Cricetulus griseus: one gene and its partner. The protein of the gene in region 1 interacts with the protein of each later gene in a pairwise test. Links are inferred from orthologs where the notes say so. Each region holds a gene or a part of one and is shown in the gene's direction. Other genes may lie near its edges. The genes, in order: Aldh16a1 and Dera.

Region 1 (8,728 bases):
AATGCCCATGGCCTCCGAGACCCTGCAGTACCCACAGGTGGCTGCAAAGAGAGTGGGTCTTCCTGGCATGGGGGCCCGGATGTGAGTGTCCATCTTACCCTTGTGTCTGCTGACACCCAGCACCCCTGAGTTACTTTGAGTTCATCAGGCCTCCTTGTGACTGTGCATTTCTCACAGGGTCTGTATGAATACCTTTGGCCCTCGGGGACACCTTCCTGGGAGCCTGCCCTTTGCGAGAGTCTCAACTATGACACGTTTGGCCTTGCCGTGCCCTCCAGCCTGGTGTCAGGGCCAGAAACAGGGCTCAGGTGAGCAGTTGTAGGCCTGGTAGTCTAAGGGTGAGGTTGAGGAGTCTGGAGGGGGACACGCCAGAGTGTAGCTTTCGGGTCTTAGGGTCTCGTGGCCCTAACCCCAGGTCTGGAGACTCTCAGTTCTACTTAGCAGTTTGAGTTTTCCCAGAAGCAAGAATCCAGGGGGTATCTAAATATATGCACATGGGAACAAGAATTTGAATGTCCACAGAAGCTCTTGGGATAGGAATTCAGAATCCTGTAGAGGCTCATGGGAGCAGGTGTTTGGATCCTTCAAGAAGCTCATGAGAATAAAAATTTGAGTCCAAAAGGTTCATGGGAACTGAGATGGTCCATGGTACCACCAGTATAGTGGAGCATGGGGCCTGAGTGGGCCCAGTACCTCCTCACACCTCACTCTGTGCAGCCCAGTACCCCCCTATGGGCTGTTTGTTGGGGGCCGTTTCCAGGCTCCTGGGTCCCGAACCTCCAGGCCCATTCAGGATTCTTCAGGCAAACTTCACAGCTATGTTGCTGAGGGTGGAGCCAAGGATATCCGAGGTGCTGTAGAGACTGCTCATCAGGCTGCCCCTGGGTAAGAGGGTCAAATGGAAGGGTGGCTGGGAAGGGAGTAAACTTGGGATTGGAGCCCTAGATTGGGGCTGTGGACAGAGTTGGCTATCTGGGAATAACTAGGGCCAGGCTATACCCCTCCCCTAACTTACATTATTTGCCCACAGCTGGGGGGCCCAGTCTCCAGGGGCCCGAGCACGCCTGCTGTGGGCCCTGGCAGCTGCAGTGGAGCGTAGGAAGCCAGCTCTGGCCTCACAACTAGAGAGCCACGGAATAGCCCCTATGGTTGCCAAGACTGAAGTAGAGCTGAGTGTGAGGCGGCTCCAGATTTGGGGCACCAAGGTTCAAGACCAAGGCCAGACACTGCAGGTGAGACACCTCTAAGCAGGTAGGCAGGGCAGGGCAGGCAGCCAGACAAGAGTTAGAGCCTAGGCTCCAGTGAGCCAGGCATGTGTCTAGGCTCAGCCCCAGGAATTCTAGAAAGTACAACTAACCCTGATGAGAGAAAAGACTGGAGGGCTCAGACCAGTCAGGAGGGAAGGTCACACTTACAGGAAGGATAGCAGGTGTTCATGAGTATACACACATCAGAACCTCCCAGGAGTGCCATTTAAAGTCTATGTTTTGTTGTTATTGTTGTTTTTCCCTTTTTTTTTTTTTTTTTTTTTTTTTTTTTTTTTTTTTTTTGGTTTTTCGAGACAGGGTTTCTCTGTGGCTTTGGAGGCTGTCCTGGAACTAGCTCTTGTAGACCAGGCTGGCCTCAAACTCACAAAGATCCACCTGCCTCTGCCTCCCAAGTGCTGGGATTAAAGGCGTGTGCCACCAATGCCTGGCCTGTTTTTCCTTTTTTTTATTAGAAAATTGTTTTTACATGTCAATCCCAGGTCCCTCTCCCTCCCCTCCTCCCCTGTCTTCCCCCCCCCCCCAAATAACACCCTGCCTATCCCATACCCTTTCTGCTCCCCAGGGAGGGTGAAGCCTTCCATAGGGGGTCTTCAAAGTCTGTCATAAGTCTGTGGTTTTTTGTTTAGTTTGGTTTGGGTTTTTTTTTTTTTTCGAGACAGGGTTTCTCTGTAGCTTTGGAGGCTGTCCTGGAACTCAGTCTGTAGATCAGGCTGTCCTGGAACTCATACAGATCTGCCTGTCTCTGCCTCCCCAAGTGCTGGGATTAAAGGTGTGTGCCATTACCTACTGCCCAGTTCATTTAAAGTCTATGTAATGTAGGCTTGATTATATTCAAGAAGGCTTTTGTAAACACACATGGTAGAGCAGGCCTAAAATCTCAGCATGTGGAAATTGTTGTGATTTTGTAAAAGTTTAAAAATTAGAGATGGGGTAATTGCGATGGAACACGAACTATAGAGAGCACATTAACCAGTTTATTACAGGGTGGGAGAGCGAGAGGGGGAGAAAGAGAAATGGAAGAACAGAGCAGAGCAGAGAGTAAGAGAGAAGAATTAGTGGTTGACCACTGGAAACAGAAGAGAGCAGAGGGATGTGGGCGCAGGCTTAAAAGGGGAGCTCGTGCATGCGCAGAGTCCCTACACAGCCTTGTAACGGGTGAGATGTGGCCACGCAGCACAAGGCCCTTTGAGCTGCCTGGGTATCTGCCTGAACCTTTCAGAAATAGAGGCAGAAAAATCAAAAGTTCAAGTTCAGTGTCAGCCTTGGCTACATAGTGAAATCCTTTTTCAAAACACCAAGGCCGGGGCAGAGGGCACAGTTAAGAGCACTTTCTGTTCTTGCAGAGGATGGGATTGATTTCAGCACCCAAATCAGGGTGCTCACAACTTCTTGTGACTCTACATAACTCCAGGGTAACCTTGTGACCCCTTTTAGCACCCACAAGTGCACATGACCACATACCCCCAACATGCACACATAGACACATAATTAAATAAATCCAGCAGGGTGTGGTAGCACACTCCTTAAGTCCTAGCACTCGGGAGGCAGAGGCAGACAGATGTCTCAGTTCAAGGCCAGCCTGGTCTACAAAGCAAGTTCCAAGACAGCCAGGGCTATTTAGAGAAACCCTGTCTCAAAAAAAAAAAAAAACAAAAATAGGCTGGGCGTTGGTGGTGCACGCCTTTAGTCCCAGCACACAGGAGGCAGAGGCAGACGGATCTCTGTGAGTTCGAGGCCAGCCTGGTCTCCAGAGCGAGTGTCAGGATAGGCTCCAAAGCTGTACAGAGAAACCCTGTCTCGAAAAACCAAAAAAAAAAAGAAAAAAAGAAAAAAGAAAAAGAAAGAAAGAAAGAAAGAAAGAAAGAAAGAAAGAAAGAAAAGAAAAAAACAAAGATAGTTCAATAAATATACAATCTATAAATCAAGCTGGGTGGTGGTGCATGCCTTTAATCCCAGCACGAAGGACACAGAGGCATGCAGATCTCTGAGTCTGCCAGCCTGATCTACATAGGGAGACCCTGTCTCACGACAAAACAGAAAACAAGGGTTGGAGTTCACTTCAGTGGTAGAACACTTGCCTATCTCTAGCATGCTTTGAGCCCTCTACAGTACCACAAAACAGTGATGGCACAGACCCAAAATCCTAGCTACTCCATAGGCTGAGGCAGGGGCATGGCAGATTCAAGGCAATACATACAGGCAGAGGTTTAACTAGTGCAGACCCACATAGCCAATGAGTGGCCATTGGGCTGCAGGCCTTTGTTCCCTGAACCAGTGTCCCCCAGTCCCACTTTATTGGAGTTGTTCTGGAGATATGAACATGTCAGATGGGGAAGATGGGGCAGGCTCTGAGAACTTGCTCTTGATGTGTCATCTGTCCCTGTAGGTAACAGGGTTGAGAGGACCTGTGCTCCGGCTTCGAGAGCCACTTGGAGTGCTGGCTGTGGTGTGCCCGGATGAGTGGCCCCTGCTGGCCTTTGTGTCACTGCTGGCTCCTGCCCTGGCCCATGGCAATGCTGTGGTCTTAGTACCTAGTGGGGCCTGTCCTCTGCCAGCCCTGGAGGTCTGTCAGGTAAAATCCCCTGCCTTCCCTCCTGCCTGCTGCTGCTTCTAGGTCTTCAGGAATTCAGCTGGCCTCTTCCCTCCTAGTAGCCATGGCAACTTGAGTCCCAGCATCCCATCCAAGTCTATCACCCAGGTCCTATTCCTTCTGGGAGCCCCTACAGCCATTCCCAGATGCCCAGTCCTCAGTCCTCACCCTGCCCTCCCTCATTGCTGTTCAACCCTGAGTGTCCTACTCTCTCACGTCCTAGGATATAGCCACCCTGTTCCCTGCTGGTCTGGTGAACGTAGTGACAGGAGATCGGGACCACCTGACCCGCTGCCTGGCCTTACATCAGGACATTCAGGCCCTGTGGTACTTCGGGTCTGCCCAGGTAATTCAGAGTCTTTTTTTTTTTTTTTTTTTTTTTTATGCAGTGTTGACCTTATTTTTTTTATTTTTTTAAGATTTATTTACTATGTATACGGTGTTCTGTCTGCATGTATGCTTGCAGACCAGAAGAGGGCACTGTAGATCTCATTATAGATGGTTATGAGCCACCATGTGGTTGCTGGGAATTGAACTCAGGACCTCTGGAAAAGCAATCAGTGCTCTTAACCTCTGAGCCATCTCTCCAGCCCCGTAATTCAGAGTCTTAACCAACAGTCTTTTGGCTTCATCCCCTGGAGACCCCTGTTGCTAAGAGGAAGAAATTCATTGGCCACAACTTCCGAGATCCTCTCCTGGTAAAAGTCCCGTCACCAGAGGGTCTTTTTTTTTTTTTTTTTTTTTTTTTTTTTTTTTTTCAAGATGGTTTCTCTGTGTAGCCCTGGCTATCCTAGAATTCACTCTGTAGACCAGGCTGGTCTTAAACTCAGATCCACCTGCCTCTGCCTCCCAAGTGCTGGGATTAAAGGTGTGCGCCACCGCTACCTTATGGAAGAGGGTATTCTTCATAATAAGGACCTAAATGCCTCCCCTGCCCAAAGACATCATCTTTTTGGAAGACCTATTGTTAAGGGACTAAACCATAACAACATTCCAAACTCCAGGTCTACCCTCCTAAGCCACCTGTTGGCAGATGGGATGCCCCATTGGCGAGATCCTTGAACATGAGCACTGGGAAAGATGGGGATTCCCTGGGTCTGCTTCCTCTGCATCTGGAAGGAATATTGGCCAGGACCCAAATATCCAGCCTTATCAGGCCTTTAGGTTTCTCCAAGTCCTCATTGCTAAGGAAGCAGCTATTCAGCAACTAAACGCTGGCAGTACTAATCACTTGTCTCCCATCCCAGGGCTCCCAGTTTGTGGAATGGGCCTCTGCAGGAAACCTCAAGTCTGTGTGGGTAAACAGGGGCTTCCCAAGGGCCTGGGATGAAGAGGTCCAGGGGGAAGGACCAGAGCTGAGTCTGCATGCAGCACGAACCAAGGCCCTGTGGCTCCCAATGGGGGACTGATGCCTGAAGCTGTCCACTCCATCTTGGGTGCCCAGAGATACCAGATGTTTGGAATTTTTCTCTCAGATTTCCCATGGTTTCCAATAAACTGAGTGACTTTTACTGCTTTTGAGGATTCCCAAACAGTGGCTTCTTCATGTGTGGCCCAGTAGGCAACTGTGGAACAACACTGTGTTTATGGGATGGTTAAAGGGCACTCACCCCCACCCAGCACTCCGGGGTCATTAGGAGTTAGAGGGAAGTCCCTGGAAGGCTCTGTACCCTTTATGCTTGATTCCAGAGTTGAGTGGGCTGCAGGGCCACCTCCTTCCCATAAGTCCTCTTTCTGAACTGGAAGGTCTGTATCCCAGCACATCCCCAAGAGGAATGAGATGCCAGCCAGAGCCAGGGGCCACCACTATTGGGACAAGTACTGAGGGCACAGCTGCCAGGCAAGATCTGACTTCCTAAGGAGGAGCCCAAACTGTGACCAGGTGTTTGCTTGCACAGCAGATCCCCTCTCAGCAGATTTAGCTTTAATTTGGTTTTTAGGTTTGGGGGGGGTGTTTGTTTGTTTTCCCCCCTTTGATCATTTTCAGCAAAGTATCAAGGAGTAAGGAGTAGCTCAGCTGATCTGTCCATCCAATCCCCCTGCCTCAGCATGAGGTTACAGACAATTGCCTCCAGGCCTGACCTAGAACTCCAAGCACGTGCATGTGTGAATAAGAGAGAGGGTAAACAGTAAACAACTTACGGAGTCGGTTCTCTCCACCACCATGTTGGTCCATGGGATCAAATGCAGGTGTCCTGCTTGGCAGTCGTGACCTGTATTTTATCAGCTGGGCCATTTCAGCAGCCCCTGGTCTGGAATCTTATGATCCTCCTACATTTGCCTTGTGCTGGGATTGTGTATGTGTGGGCATGCCCAACATTAATCTTGTCTACCAAGCCTTTCACCAGGTAAGATCACAAAACAAGACAGTGAACAGCCACACAGACTCAGAGAGGCTAAACACGATGGCTGCCCACAGGGAAGAGAAGTGGGTAGGAGAGCAGTCAGGTGGCCTAGCTTTTTGGTTTGGTTTTTTTGTTTTTTTGAGACAGGGTTTCTCTGTAGCTTTGGAGGCTATCCTAGAATTCACTCTGTAGACCAGGCTGGCCTCAAACTCACAGAGATCCTCCTGCCTCTGCCTCCCAAGTGCTAGGATTAAAGGCATGTGCACCACCAACGCCCAGCAGTGGCCTAGTGTTGTTGCAGTAAACCTATGTCTGGGTGACTCATTGCATGTTCTCTCTCTCTCTCTCTCTCTCTCTCTCTCTCTCTCTCTCTCTCTCTCTCTCTCTCTCTCTCTGTGTGTGTGTGTGTGTGTGTGTGCTCATCAAAGTTGCTGTTGCCTGGGGAATTGGGCTGATGGAGGCTGTCTTAACCTATTTTCTTGTATGTTGCAGTTTGGTGGTGGTGCTCTGTTTGTTGGGGGTTTGTCTGGTTGTTTGATTTTGAGACTATATATATCCCAGGTTGGACTAGAACTTCCTTTGGCACCAAAGATGACCTTGAACTCCTGATCTTCTGCCAATGGGATGACAAGCATGAGCCATTAGGCACAACTTTTTCTTGGTCTATTTTCTGTGGCTGTAACTGATTATCATAGACTGTCACTTGCCAAGAATAAAGGTTTCAGCACAAGGCTGTGGAAGCTAGGAGGGGCCCCATCTGGTTGGCATCTGTAAGGCCTTCCTGGCATAATAATGGGATCGAGGATACCTTGTAGCATGACAGCTTTTTTTTTTCATTTTTGGTTTTTTGAGACAGGGTTTCTCTGTGTAGCTTTGGAGCCTATCCTGGCACTCGCTCTGGAGACCAGGCTGGCCTCGAACTCACAGAGATCCACCTGCCTCTGCCTCCCGAGTGCTGGGATTAAAGGCGTGTGCCACCAACGCCCAGCTGCATGACAGCTTTTTAGAATGCTCTTAACAACAAAGCCTCACCGCCGCCGCCCCCGCCCCGCCCCGCCCGCCCCGCCCCGCCCGCCTTTCGACCCTGTGTCTTAATTAAGGCTACTGTTGCTGTGATGTAACACCATGCCAAAAAGCAGCTTGGGGAGAAAAGAGTTTATTTGCACATTTCAAATCACAGTTCACTGAAGAAAACCAAGGCGGGAACTCAAACCTTGAAGCAGGGCAGGGGTTGGAAGCTGATACAGGGGCCATGGTGGAGTGCTTACTCTCTTGTTCCTCAAGTCTTGCTCAGCCTGCTTTCTTTTTCTTTTTCTTTTCTTTTTTTCTTTTTTTTTTATTTTGGTTTTTCGAGACAGGGTTTTTCTGTTCAGCCTGCTTTCTTATAGCACCCATGGCCACCAGGGTTGGCACCACTCACCATGGACTGTGCGTTCCGGTGTCACTAGTTAAGAAAATACCCTACAGGCTTGCTGCAGCCAGATCTTAATGAAGGCAATTTGACAACTGAGTTTTCCTCCCCTCGGATGGCTATAGCTTGTCAAGTTGACATAAAACTATCCAGCACAAGTCGGGCAGTGGTGGCCCACACCTTTAATCCTAGCACTTGGGAGGCAAAGGCAGAGGCAGGGGAGCTCTGAGTTCGAGGACAGTCTGGTCTGCAGAGTGACCAGGACAGTGAGGGCTACAAAGAGAAACCCTGTCTTAAAACAACAAAAACAAGGCAGCACAGTATGTTCTTTATTTTTATTATGTAAGGGGTATGGGCACATGAGGCCAGAAGGAGGTTATTAGGTACCAGGGAGCTGCACCCACCATGACCCCTGGGAACTGAACTCAGGCCCTGTGTAGTAGTAAGTACTTTTTGTTTTTTGTTTTTTTCTTTTTTCGAGACAGGGTTTCTCTGTGGCTTTGGAGGCTGTCCTGTAACTAGCTCTTGTAGACCAGGCTGGTCTCAAACTCATAGAGATCCACCTGCCTCTGCCTCCTGAGTGCAGGGATTAAAGGTGTGCGCCACCAACACCCAGCAGTAAGTACTTTTTTAAATCAGTCCCATGTTTTAAAAGTTTTTGAGCCGGGCGTTGGTGGTGCACGCCTTTAATTCCAGCACTCGGGAGGCAGAGGCAGGCGAATCTCTGAGTTCGAGGCCAGCCTGGTCTCCAGAGCGAGTTCCAGGATAGGCTCCAAAGCTACACAGAGAAACCCTGTCTTGAAAAACCAAAATAATAATAATAATAATAATAAAAGTTTTTGAGACAGTCTTGCTGGGGGTGGTAGCACACACTAATGCCAGAGGCAGGGTAGGAGGGTCTCCTTGAATTTGAGGGCAGCCTTGTCTATATCTTGTTCCAGGCTAGGGCTACATAGTATACATAATAAGACTCTGAAAAAAGAGTAAGTTTGACTAACCCTGGCTGAATTGGAACTTACTGTGTAGCCCAAGCTGTTCCAGGACTTACTGTGATCCTCCTGCCCAGCCCAATTATTACTCCATTAAAGCTCCAGCTGGAGATACCAACAATGTG
Region 2 (8,974 bases), on another chromosome or scaffold:
TATCAACCGTAGCCATTAATCTATCTATTTTATAAAGACTCATCGAGGACACCAGCGGAACTCGTCCTCTCTTCACAGGATCACATGGGTGGGGGGACACGGTACCATGCAACTTCAAGAAAGCTACGTAACTTTTCGGTGCCTCAGTGTCCTCTTTGAAGAAAGTGCTCGTGTCAGTACTTGGTAATAGTGGTAGGGACTGACTGTGCCGACGCCCATGAAGCACGAGGTGCTAGTCCCTCCCTGCCATTGTTACCTTTTATCTCCCTGTGTTGCTCTAATAAGTTAAGGAAACAGGCTCAAGATCCAAGAGAAGGAAGAAAACATCTGCAAACTGTCAACAGTACAGCATCTTTCATGAAGTCTCGTCTGTTGGGAGGCCTACTACTTCACTAAATACCAGCCTGTAACAGTTCTGGGGTTGTCACAACTGGGCCATGGGCTTTCTTTCCACTGAGTGTGAGAGAAGGAGGGGAAATGAGTAGGCACTCCACAGTTCTGTGGGAAAGATACATGGTAGTGAGCATAGGGCATAAAATTGTTTTTATTCATCTCAGTTATGCATTAAACAAACCAACTTGATTTTAATTGGCTGTGAAATATGGAGACAAGAATACCAGAGTCTATGAGAATCCATTGACTGTCTAATTTAATTTATCTGATGGTGAAGAAAGATAAAATTCTAAGAGATTATTTTCATTTTCATTTCATACGTGGGTGATGCGTTCTGATTACTCCCCCCTACTCTTCCTTATACCCCACCCTCCCTTCTATTTCCCGCTCCTGACACCCCCCCCCCAACCATCTGCACTTCCTGTCACCCCTTTCCTACATTGTGTCTTTGTGTTTGGTTTTGTGACCCACAGATTTTAAGCAGGGCCAAGCAACTATGGGTTTAGAACTGTCCCTTGGAGCCTGGTAGGCTTAGCCATGGGTAATCAACCCAAAACAATGACTGTCCTTCCCCAGAACCCCCCAGTAGCAAGAAGTTCAACAGGGAGGGGTACATCCCCATCCGTGATTGATGAATGATGGGCTCAGTCTTGTACAGGCCTGGTAGTGACAGCCTCTGCTTCTGTGGGACGTGATTGCAGTGACTGTGTTGTGCCCAGAAGATGGCAATTTTCAGCCCTTCTCCCTTTCTTCTGGCTCTTATATAAACAGAAATATTTTAAAGGTAGATTTTCATTTTAGTTTTTTCACATAATTACCAAAAAGTAAAGTTGTCCTTAGGGAGATGGGGGTTGGGGGAGGTTTGCACATAATTCACTTCTTTCAATGACTTAAGTATAAAAGTAAGTTTTTAATTAACCTGGGAGTTTTTCTTGCTTTTGTTTTAGGATCAGATTTTATTAAGACTTCTACTGGAAAAGAAACGGTAAATGCCACCTTCCCAGTAGCGATCGTAATGCTACGGGCCATTAGAGATTTCTTCTGGAAAACTGGAAACAAGGTACGGTATTGCCAGCAAATCTCCCTTCAAAGTGAAGAGAATGCTATTTATAACCCTCCTCACAGTCCGCAGGATAACGATAACGTCTCCCTGTGCAGAAGGTGTGAATGAGTCGCCTTTATTAAGATAAATGTTTAATTTACCTTTCATTACAAAAGAATACCTCGGTGGGGGAAAGTGTGTGATTAACAGTGAGTGTGAGTGTGTGCCTGTGTGATCAAGATGTAAACTCACTCTGTCCTTTTATTAACCCAAGACAATTTTAGCACTGACAAGAGATTCCTAAATGGGTTCTTTAAGGAACTAATTGTACTGCGACACAGAGCTTCTTCTTGCGAGGCGTTGGCCGGTGAAAACAGGTTAATGTAGAAATTTAACTTCCTCATGGAATGGAAAGAATCTCAGAGTAACATTTATTGAATGATAAGCTGTGGTGGTGATATGAAAAGTAGGCAGTATAATGGGAAGTAATCTTTCCCTGTCATTATTGAAGGACACACATAAATTGGTTTTTCTGTTGGGAAACCCCCGGTCCAGAAAAACTTATTACTTTTAATAATATGAGGTGAAGAGAAAATTCTCGAGGAGATGAACTTATTAAACAGAATAATGAAATACCACGAAACAGCAGGGAAATGGTAGCTCTCCGTCCTATAGCTCTTGAATTAAATATCCATTTTTTTTTAACGTTTTATGGTGGTTGGCCGTGCTGTTTGGGAGAGTGTTGAGCTGAGGAGAGTATATGCTAACTTTTGTCAGCTTTTCGAAGAGCAACACAGAATTTTTTGAAGCATACAAAGTTAAATGGGAAAATGCGTACGAAGTGTTTCTTAAAAACTGGATTTGGATTTTCTATTTCAAGTTGCTTGTCTAGTCACAAATTATCTAAGAAGGACTTTTTTTTTTTTTTTTTTTTGCCTAGCTGGAAAGGTGTGTGTGTGTGTGTGTGTGTGTGTGTGTGTGTGTGTGTGGTGTGTATGTGTGCGCGCACATGTTCGAAGGCGCTGATATAATAAGACTTCCCTCCCTGAGGGGCATCTTTTAAAAACCAGTATCTTACTTTCTGCCATCTCCTCCCTCAAGAAGACCTTTAATGCTTTGTCTACGGGATGGGATGTCTTTATGGCTTCACGAGTGACTATGGCTTAGATTTATTTTGGAATTGGAGACTTACATGGGCTATGCCCCTTGTGAGAGGAAATAACCTCCCGGAGTTTTCTCTGAATGAGCTCACATTGTTAAGCACAGGTAGGGAAAACACATTGTTACCGTTGGTCTCTCTGCACTGATACAAATCCAACAATTTAAGGAACATTGTTTTGTTCTCAAAGAAAAGCTGTGTAAGCAGCAGCTCATCTTCTTTCAGTGTGGCTGTCACCTCCTTTAGGCCCATGCCACTCATCCCTAAAGTCGTTTAGCAAACTGATTCTACTGAGTCACAGGTTTTTGATAAGGGTTAGCCTGAGAACATCAAAATTAGATACTCAGCTGGCCATGCATGTAGAATCCTGGGCTCCCAGGCTTGACAGCCATGGGTCTGGAAGAGTCCCTTGGCATCCATGTTCCATGAACTCCACCTTTAGGGGTAATGCATGCTTTTGGGAACCAAAGAAACAGTTCCCAAGTGGGTGACTGAGGGCCGTGCTAACCTGTGTTAGGGTGTAAACACAAATATGTCCCCTCCTAAGACAGCTCTCAGACAGCAAAAAACAGATCTCAGAGAACACAAGTGCTCAATGGTCCGGGCTGGAGTTTGGAGATGCATTTTGCTTGTCTTTGCATCCTTAATGGTTCTGTTCTTTCCCCACCTAGTAGCCAAATGGCCCACTTATCGTTAAGCAAAGGCCGAGTGCAAGACACATCCTGTTGTGTATGGTTGGGTATGCAACTGCAAGCCGGGCATGGCCTTTAAGTTGGTGATGGCAAGCCCAGGAGGCCATAGACTGTGGTTCCTCCTTCATTGATGTGAGCCATGTTATACGATGCAAAAGCCCACATTCCAGGCCATGCCTGGTGCCACCCCTAGGAAGCTGGGATTTTGTATATTGTAACTGATTTCATTGCAGATTTGTTTTCCATATTCTCTCGCTTGCAATGTATTAACTTGCACAAGCACTTCTTCTTGGGGTGGAGTTGCCGACGCTGACTTCTATGTCTAGGAAATCTTTATGAACACTGCCCACCTGACTTGCAGGAAGACTCCTCCCTCCCATGGCCGTGTGTGCTTCCTGTCGCTCACCTACTGCGTTTGTCTATCTGTTTGCCAGTCTGCAACAGTGGCTACAAGTATGCTCCTGCTGAGCTGGCTATCTCATGTATGATGAAGGCAGGGAACCCACTTAGGAGACCATTCATGACACTCTTCCCTGAAAGGACTGAGGGTAGAGAGAGGTAGGATGTGGATATCCTAGGATGTGAAGGCAGGCTTGGCAGGAACACGCCAGTGTGATGCTGCAATGGCTGGGTGGCTGCGAAGTACCAACACAATGGCAGTGGCTGTGTTCACAGTGGGATTTCCCGCTGACTAATGGGACCTTTCTTTCATTGGCTCCTTCTGCGTCCTGCCAGGGTGATCTATTGAAAGAGCTCTGAGCCCTTGGGCTGCACATAGAGTGGTTGGGCAGCTTGTGTGTATAGACTCATCTACTCTCTGCATAGTTACATTCCTGAGACAAGTGAATCCAGAGGCCATGAGGTTTTCTACACATGCAACCTGGGCTTTTCCTGATGGTATCAGACATCACGTAGAAACAACCAGCATCTATTGGCTGTTTGGACTGTGTCTTTTTTTAAGGATTTATTTGTGAATGCTTGCGTGCATGTGTGCGTGTCTGTGTATTTGTGTGCACCATGTGTGTGTGAGTTCCTGTGGAAGCCAGAAAAAGGCACAGGAACCCCTGGAGTGAGAGTCCCTCAACGTGAGTGCCGAGCAGTGAACTCAAGTCCTCTGGAAAAGCATGGGTCCCAGGTGGCTCTCGGCCTCTCAGCCACCTGGGACTGACTGCTTTATGGCCCTCCCTACAGACTTTCAAAAACAGTATGGCGTTCTTCTACCAAGCTTACATTAACAGTCTGCCTGCTTTGTAGAACCCTGTACCTATGGCCTCTGAAAAGAAGCCTGCAGTTAGGTCGATTAAAGTACCCGTCAGCTCTTGCTTGACAGCTGCCAGTTTGATTAGGTTGATCTTGTGGCCACACTGATCTGGCCTTAAATACAAAGTGACTTGCACCTCAAGATGCAGGCTCATTGGAAGCAGTGTAGACTGGATGAATACCTGTGGTGTATTTTCTTGTTTATTGACACTTTCCTTGGCTTCTCCAGATGTACACATTTAGTCTAGATGGTGGAAGTTTATGAGGTGAGATGTCCCCTCGTTCTTATCCCTTCAGAAGCAGTAACCCAGGCCCCATTGGTCTTGGAATTTTCAGGTAATGCTCTATTGATATAGGTATCTTTGCCGAAGTGAAACAGACTAAGAAGGAAAGTGTGACTCAATCCTGTTTCTTCAGGGTGCCCCTTTTGAAATCAGCCTGCTAATGATGGTTCCTCTTCTCTCCTCCCCCTCAGGTAGGCTTTAAACCTGCAGGAGGCATCCGCACCGCAAAGGAGTCCCTTGCATGGCTCTCTCTTATAAAGGAGGAGCTGGGGGATGAGTGGCTGACACCTGACCTCTTCCGGATAGGGGCCAGTTCTCTGCTCTCAGACATCGAGAGGCAGGTGAGTGGAGAGACCTTGTCCTTGGAAGGAGGGGAGGTTGACCCCGCAGAACCAGGGCTCCACCTCCTTCAAGCAGACCCGCACCTGCTAGAGGTCAGGTGCCAGTTGTGCTGAAGAGGTTGCGAACGCAGCGCCAAGTGGAATTACTATGGGCAGCAGGATGGCTACTATCTTATGTGTACGCCTGCGTAATTACTAACGGATGAAACTGGGCTTCCTCCTAGATATACCACCACGTGACTGGACGGTACGCAGCTTATCATGATCTTCCGATGTCTTAGGTCAGCAGCCAGCCCAGAAAAGCATCTTGCAACAAGTAAAAAAATATCTTTTGCATAATTGCCAAGGTTATGTAATTTAAGAATAGGTAACTGACTTTTCCCCCAATAAAATCTCCCCTGAAACTAACTCAAAAAAACCAAAAGAAACAAATCAATTTGAATCTGTATGTGGAACTCTGATCAAGTGAGGCTGAAATGCTCTTAATTATTAGGAGGTCTACAATTATTAATTTTATGAAGGTCTTCTCTAAACAACTCCAAATAAAGTGTTCCTAATAGCCCATACTGCAGCAAATTCTGAGGGGGAAATGAAGTTAAATGGCCCAAGACATGAGATTCTAGGGCAGGCAAGAGGACTTGGCCCAGGATGGTGCTTGCTACCAATCCTGACCACAAGTTCAGTTCTCAATAACTGCATTGTGGGAGGGGAAAGCCGGCTCCTGGAAAGCCCAAGAACGTGGAGCTCCTCCCTGGCTCTCACCTGAATTTCTGTGGTGGACCAAGGACTCTTTCAGTAATTGTTTTGCTAATGAGATTCTGATGTTGTTATGAGAAAATGTGAATACCACTGACTTTTTAAATTCAAAAGTCTCTGCTTATTTATTTTGTCTACTTTGGGCGGGGGCTTCTGGGCTGGAGCTTTGAAAATGCTGGGGCTACCACCTGCCTGACTTGGTGACGGTTGTTGTTTTAGTCTCTTTAAATTATTAAAAGAAAGGAAAAGCTGGGTGTGTGGTGGCATCTGTTTGTAACTCCACCACTGGCCGTGCAACTCACTGTGCAGTTACAGGCTTCTGCCCAAAATCCAGGCAGACAAAGGCTGGTCTCTGCTTCCCACACGTTTACGAATTGACCTGCACGTGTGTGTGTGTGTGTGTGTGTGTGTGTGTGTGTGTGTGTGTGTGTGTGTGTGTGTGTGTATGTGTGTGTGTGTGCAATGCACAGATGAATCCAAGATGGAGAAAGTAGCCCTGGCATAGGGATGGCGTGCTTGTGTGGCCTGTGAGAGAGGCCTTGGACCTGATACCTGGGACTACAAAAACAAGTAAATAATCAGCAAACCAGGTGAGGCTTGCTGCTCAGTCTGTGGTCCCTTTTGTGAGTCACCTTTAAGCAGCTAGGGACACAGGAGCAGAGCTGTGACATGTGACCGGCTTCATGCTTTGTGTTCTCCTTTGCTCTGTGGCTCCTCCCCCTTCCAGTGTCCTTGCTTGCTGACACCTCTGCCATGTTGTAGAACCTGAGCTTTTTAAAATGGCCTTTTCATCAAGAATCAATCAGTCCTCCCTCCTTCCCTCCCTCTCTCCCTCCCTCCCTCCCTCCCTCCCTCCCCTCCCTCCCTCCCCTCCCTCCCTCCCTCTCCTCCCTCCCTCCCTCCCTCCCTCCCTCCCTCCCTCCTTCCTCCCTCCCTCTCTCCCTCCTTCCACTCTTTCCCTCCCATGAATACCTTTCCTGTTAATCATGAGCAAAAGCACCAGCCTGAGTCAGTCTCCTGCATCATCTCCTGCAGATGTCTTAGCCCAGCCTCTGCCTCTGTCTCACCTTGGGACTTTGGTCCAGTCTGTGTGCATCCTTCGACCTCTGTCTGCCTCTATGAAGGGAAGGGGTGAGGGCAGGTGACTTAATCGTGCTTTCAGACCCAAGATCACATCACCCCAAGGATAATTAGAACAAATCCAAGAAAATGTTTTATGGCTAGAAAGAGAAAACACTTTGTACCGATCTAAATTAGAATTTGCCTCTCGGGAGTCAATTAAGCAATTCCCTCAAAGCACTTCACTAACTGTAAAGGAAACAACTAAAATAAGAACAGAAAAAGAAACCCTGCTTTCCCCAGCACTGTAGCAAAATGCTGACTCCTGGCTTGTGCTTAGCTCTGAGTGCCTTATCCAACTTCATAATGTGCTGGCCCTGGCGCTCGCCAGCACAGTGGCCAGTCACCTTTGGAGAAGAAACATTACGGAAAAATAATTGCATCCTATCACCTTCGGAGCTATTCTAATTTCAGTGGGGTTTCTCTTTTCCTCCCATTAAACCCAGCCGGTCATTTGGGGTTGACCAAGTGAACAGGCATCATTATCTTCAATTTTAATTTATATGAGGCATCCATAGAAACCGACCTCTGTGGACAGTTACAGATGCCTGCAGGAGATTAAGGCTGGAGAATCTCTCGAATCCATACGAAGCTGTTGAGAGTGGTAGATCCAAAGGTAATGTCACATTTGAGGGACAGTTTGTTCCAAGGACTTTGGGGTTCTTCTTGAGGCACTCCTGGGCCTTCTTATCCAATTCTTTATCTACATATTACACGGATGACTTTATTAGGGACATCCTAGCTGATGGAGATTGCTATTAAACACAAAGAAGAAGTCATTTCTGGGGTGACCATGTTTTGCTGCTGGGAGATCTGTGTACTTCAGAGCATTAGGGACAGATGTTTGCACAACCAGGAAATGAATGGCCAGGTTCTGTGTGAAAAGATTCAGTGAATAGGGACAACCTTCTTCTTCCCCTAAAATGGATACAGTGTTGCCATAAAGCATGGTAGGCCTAAACTGACTGTTCAAACTGTCCTATGGAATGGGGACTTGAAGGGACTTCAGGGAGTGGTGGAGTTCAACCCTGTCGTTCTGTACACGGGAGGAGACTGGAGTAGAAAAATCACACCATCAAGGTTACATTCAAGATTCAAGCCAGAGGTGAAGCTCTCTCTCTCTCTCTCTCTCTCTCTCTCTCTCTCTCTCTCTCTCTCTCTCTCTCTCTCTCTCTCACACACACACACACACACACACACACACACATTTGTGCACTCAGGATGCATGCCTTTATGCCTTTAAGGAGGGTCTCAGTGACTTCGACACCAGCCTGGTCTATGTGGAGACCACATGGAGAGTTCCAGGCCAGTCTGGGCTACATAGTGAGACCCTCTTTCAAAAACAATGTCAGCACTGAAGCCAGGGGGCCACATTACCACATCTTGAATATTTGATGGGATAGGGTCAGGCTTTTGAAATTGAATTGTTCTTGCTTGTTGATTCATCCTACCATTCAAAACCATAAGCTAAATTAAGTTTAGTCAGAGATTTGGTGTTTTAGAGGCCACCTCCACCTAGCCATTTGATTATGTGCTAGTGTGGTTGAGTTTTTCTGCTGATCATAAAGCCATAATTTTGGATGACCTGTAGATGTACATTTTTTTTAAGAGATTGTGTTTTGTTTAGGGAAAATTATTTGGATTCTAATTTGTGTGTGCATGGGGAGAAAATGGCTTGTGTAACCACAGAACAGTTTTATAATTATGAATTCTTTGCCCCATTCTGGACCATTTCAACGCTAATGAGAAATGCAGATGAATTAGCTTGCATGAAAAACACACTCAGAGAGAGCTGTGCAAAAAACAGTTATGATCTCTGGAAGTGTGTTGGTGTGGTAAGTAGTTGCTTTTAAGGTCTTGATCGAGCCAACACGTTACTATGTTGAGCATAGACAGTTTATAAAAGCCAAATCAGCTCTTTGGAAAAA

The links.
Region 2: the proteins of Aldh16a1 (region 1) and Dera interact in binary tests that used the Homo sapiens proteins (3 or more experiments, as listed by UniProt). The link is inferred for Cricetulus griseus from reciprocal best matches to the Homo sapiens genes ALDH16A1 and DERA.

The regions. Positions count from the first base shown.
Region 1 is NC_048599.1:154,027,982-154,036,709, reverse strand, and holds the end of Aldh16a1 (aldehyde dehydrogenase family 16 member A1), read left to right. Parts: coding exon 1-81; intron 82-177; coding exon 178-308; intron 309-717; coding exon 718-885; intron 886-1,030; coding exon 1,031-1,232; intron 1,233-3,654; coding exon 3,655-3,840; intron 3,841-4,081; coding exon 4,082-4,204; intron 4,205-5,105; coding exon 5,106-5,267; 3' UTR 5,268-5,390; downstream 5,391-8,728.
Region 2 is NC_048601.1:11,195,210-11,204,183, reverse strand, and holds part of Dera (deoxyribose-phosphate aldolase), read left to right. Parts: intron 1-1,340; coding exon 1,341-1,453; intron 1,454-5,021; coding exon 5,022-5,171; intron 5,172-5,395; coding exon 5,396-5,452; exon of another isoform or gene 5,453-5,487; intron 5,488-8,974. UniProt on the Homo sapiens protein: Catalyzes a reversible aldol reaction between acetaldehyde and D-glyceraldehyde 3-phosphate to generate 2-deoxy-D-ribose 5-phosphate. Participates in stress granule (SG) assembly.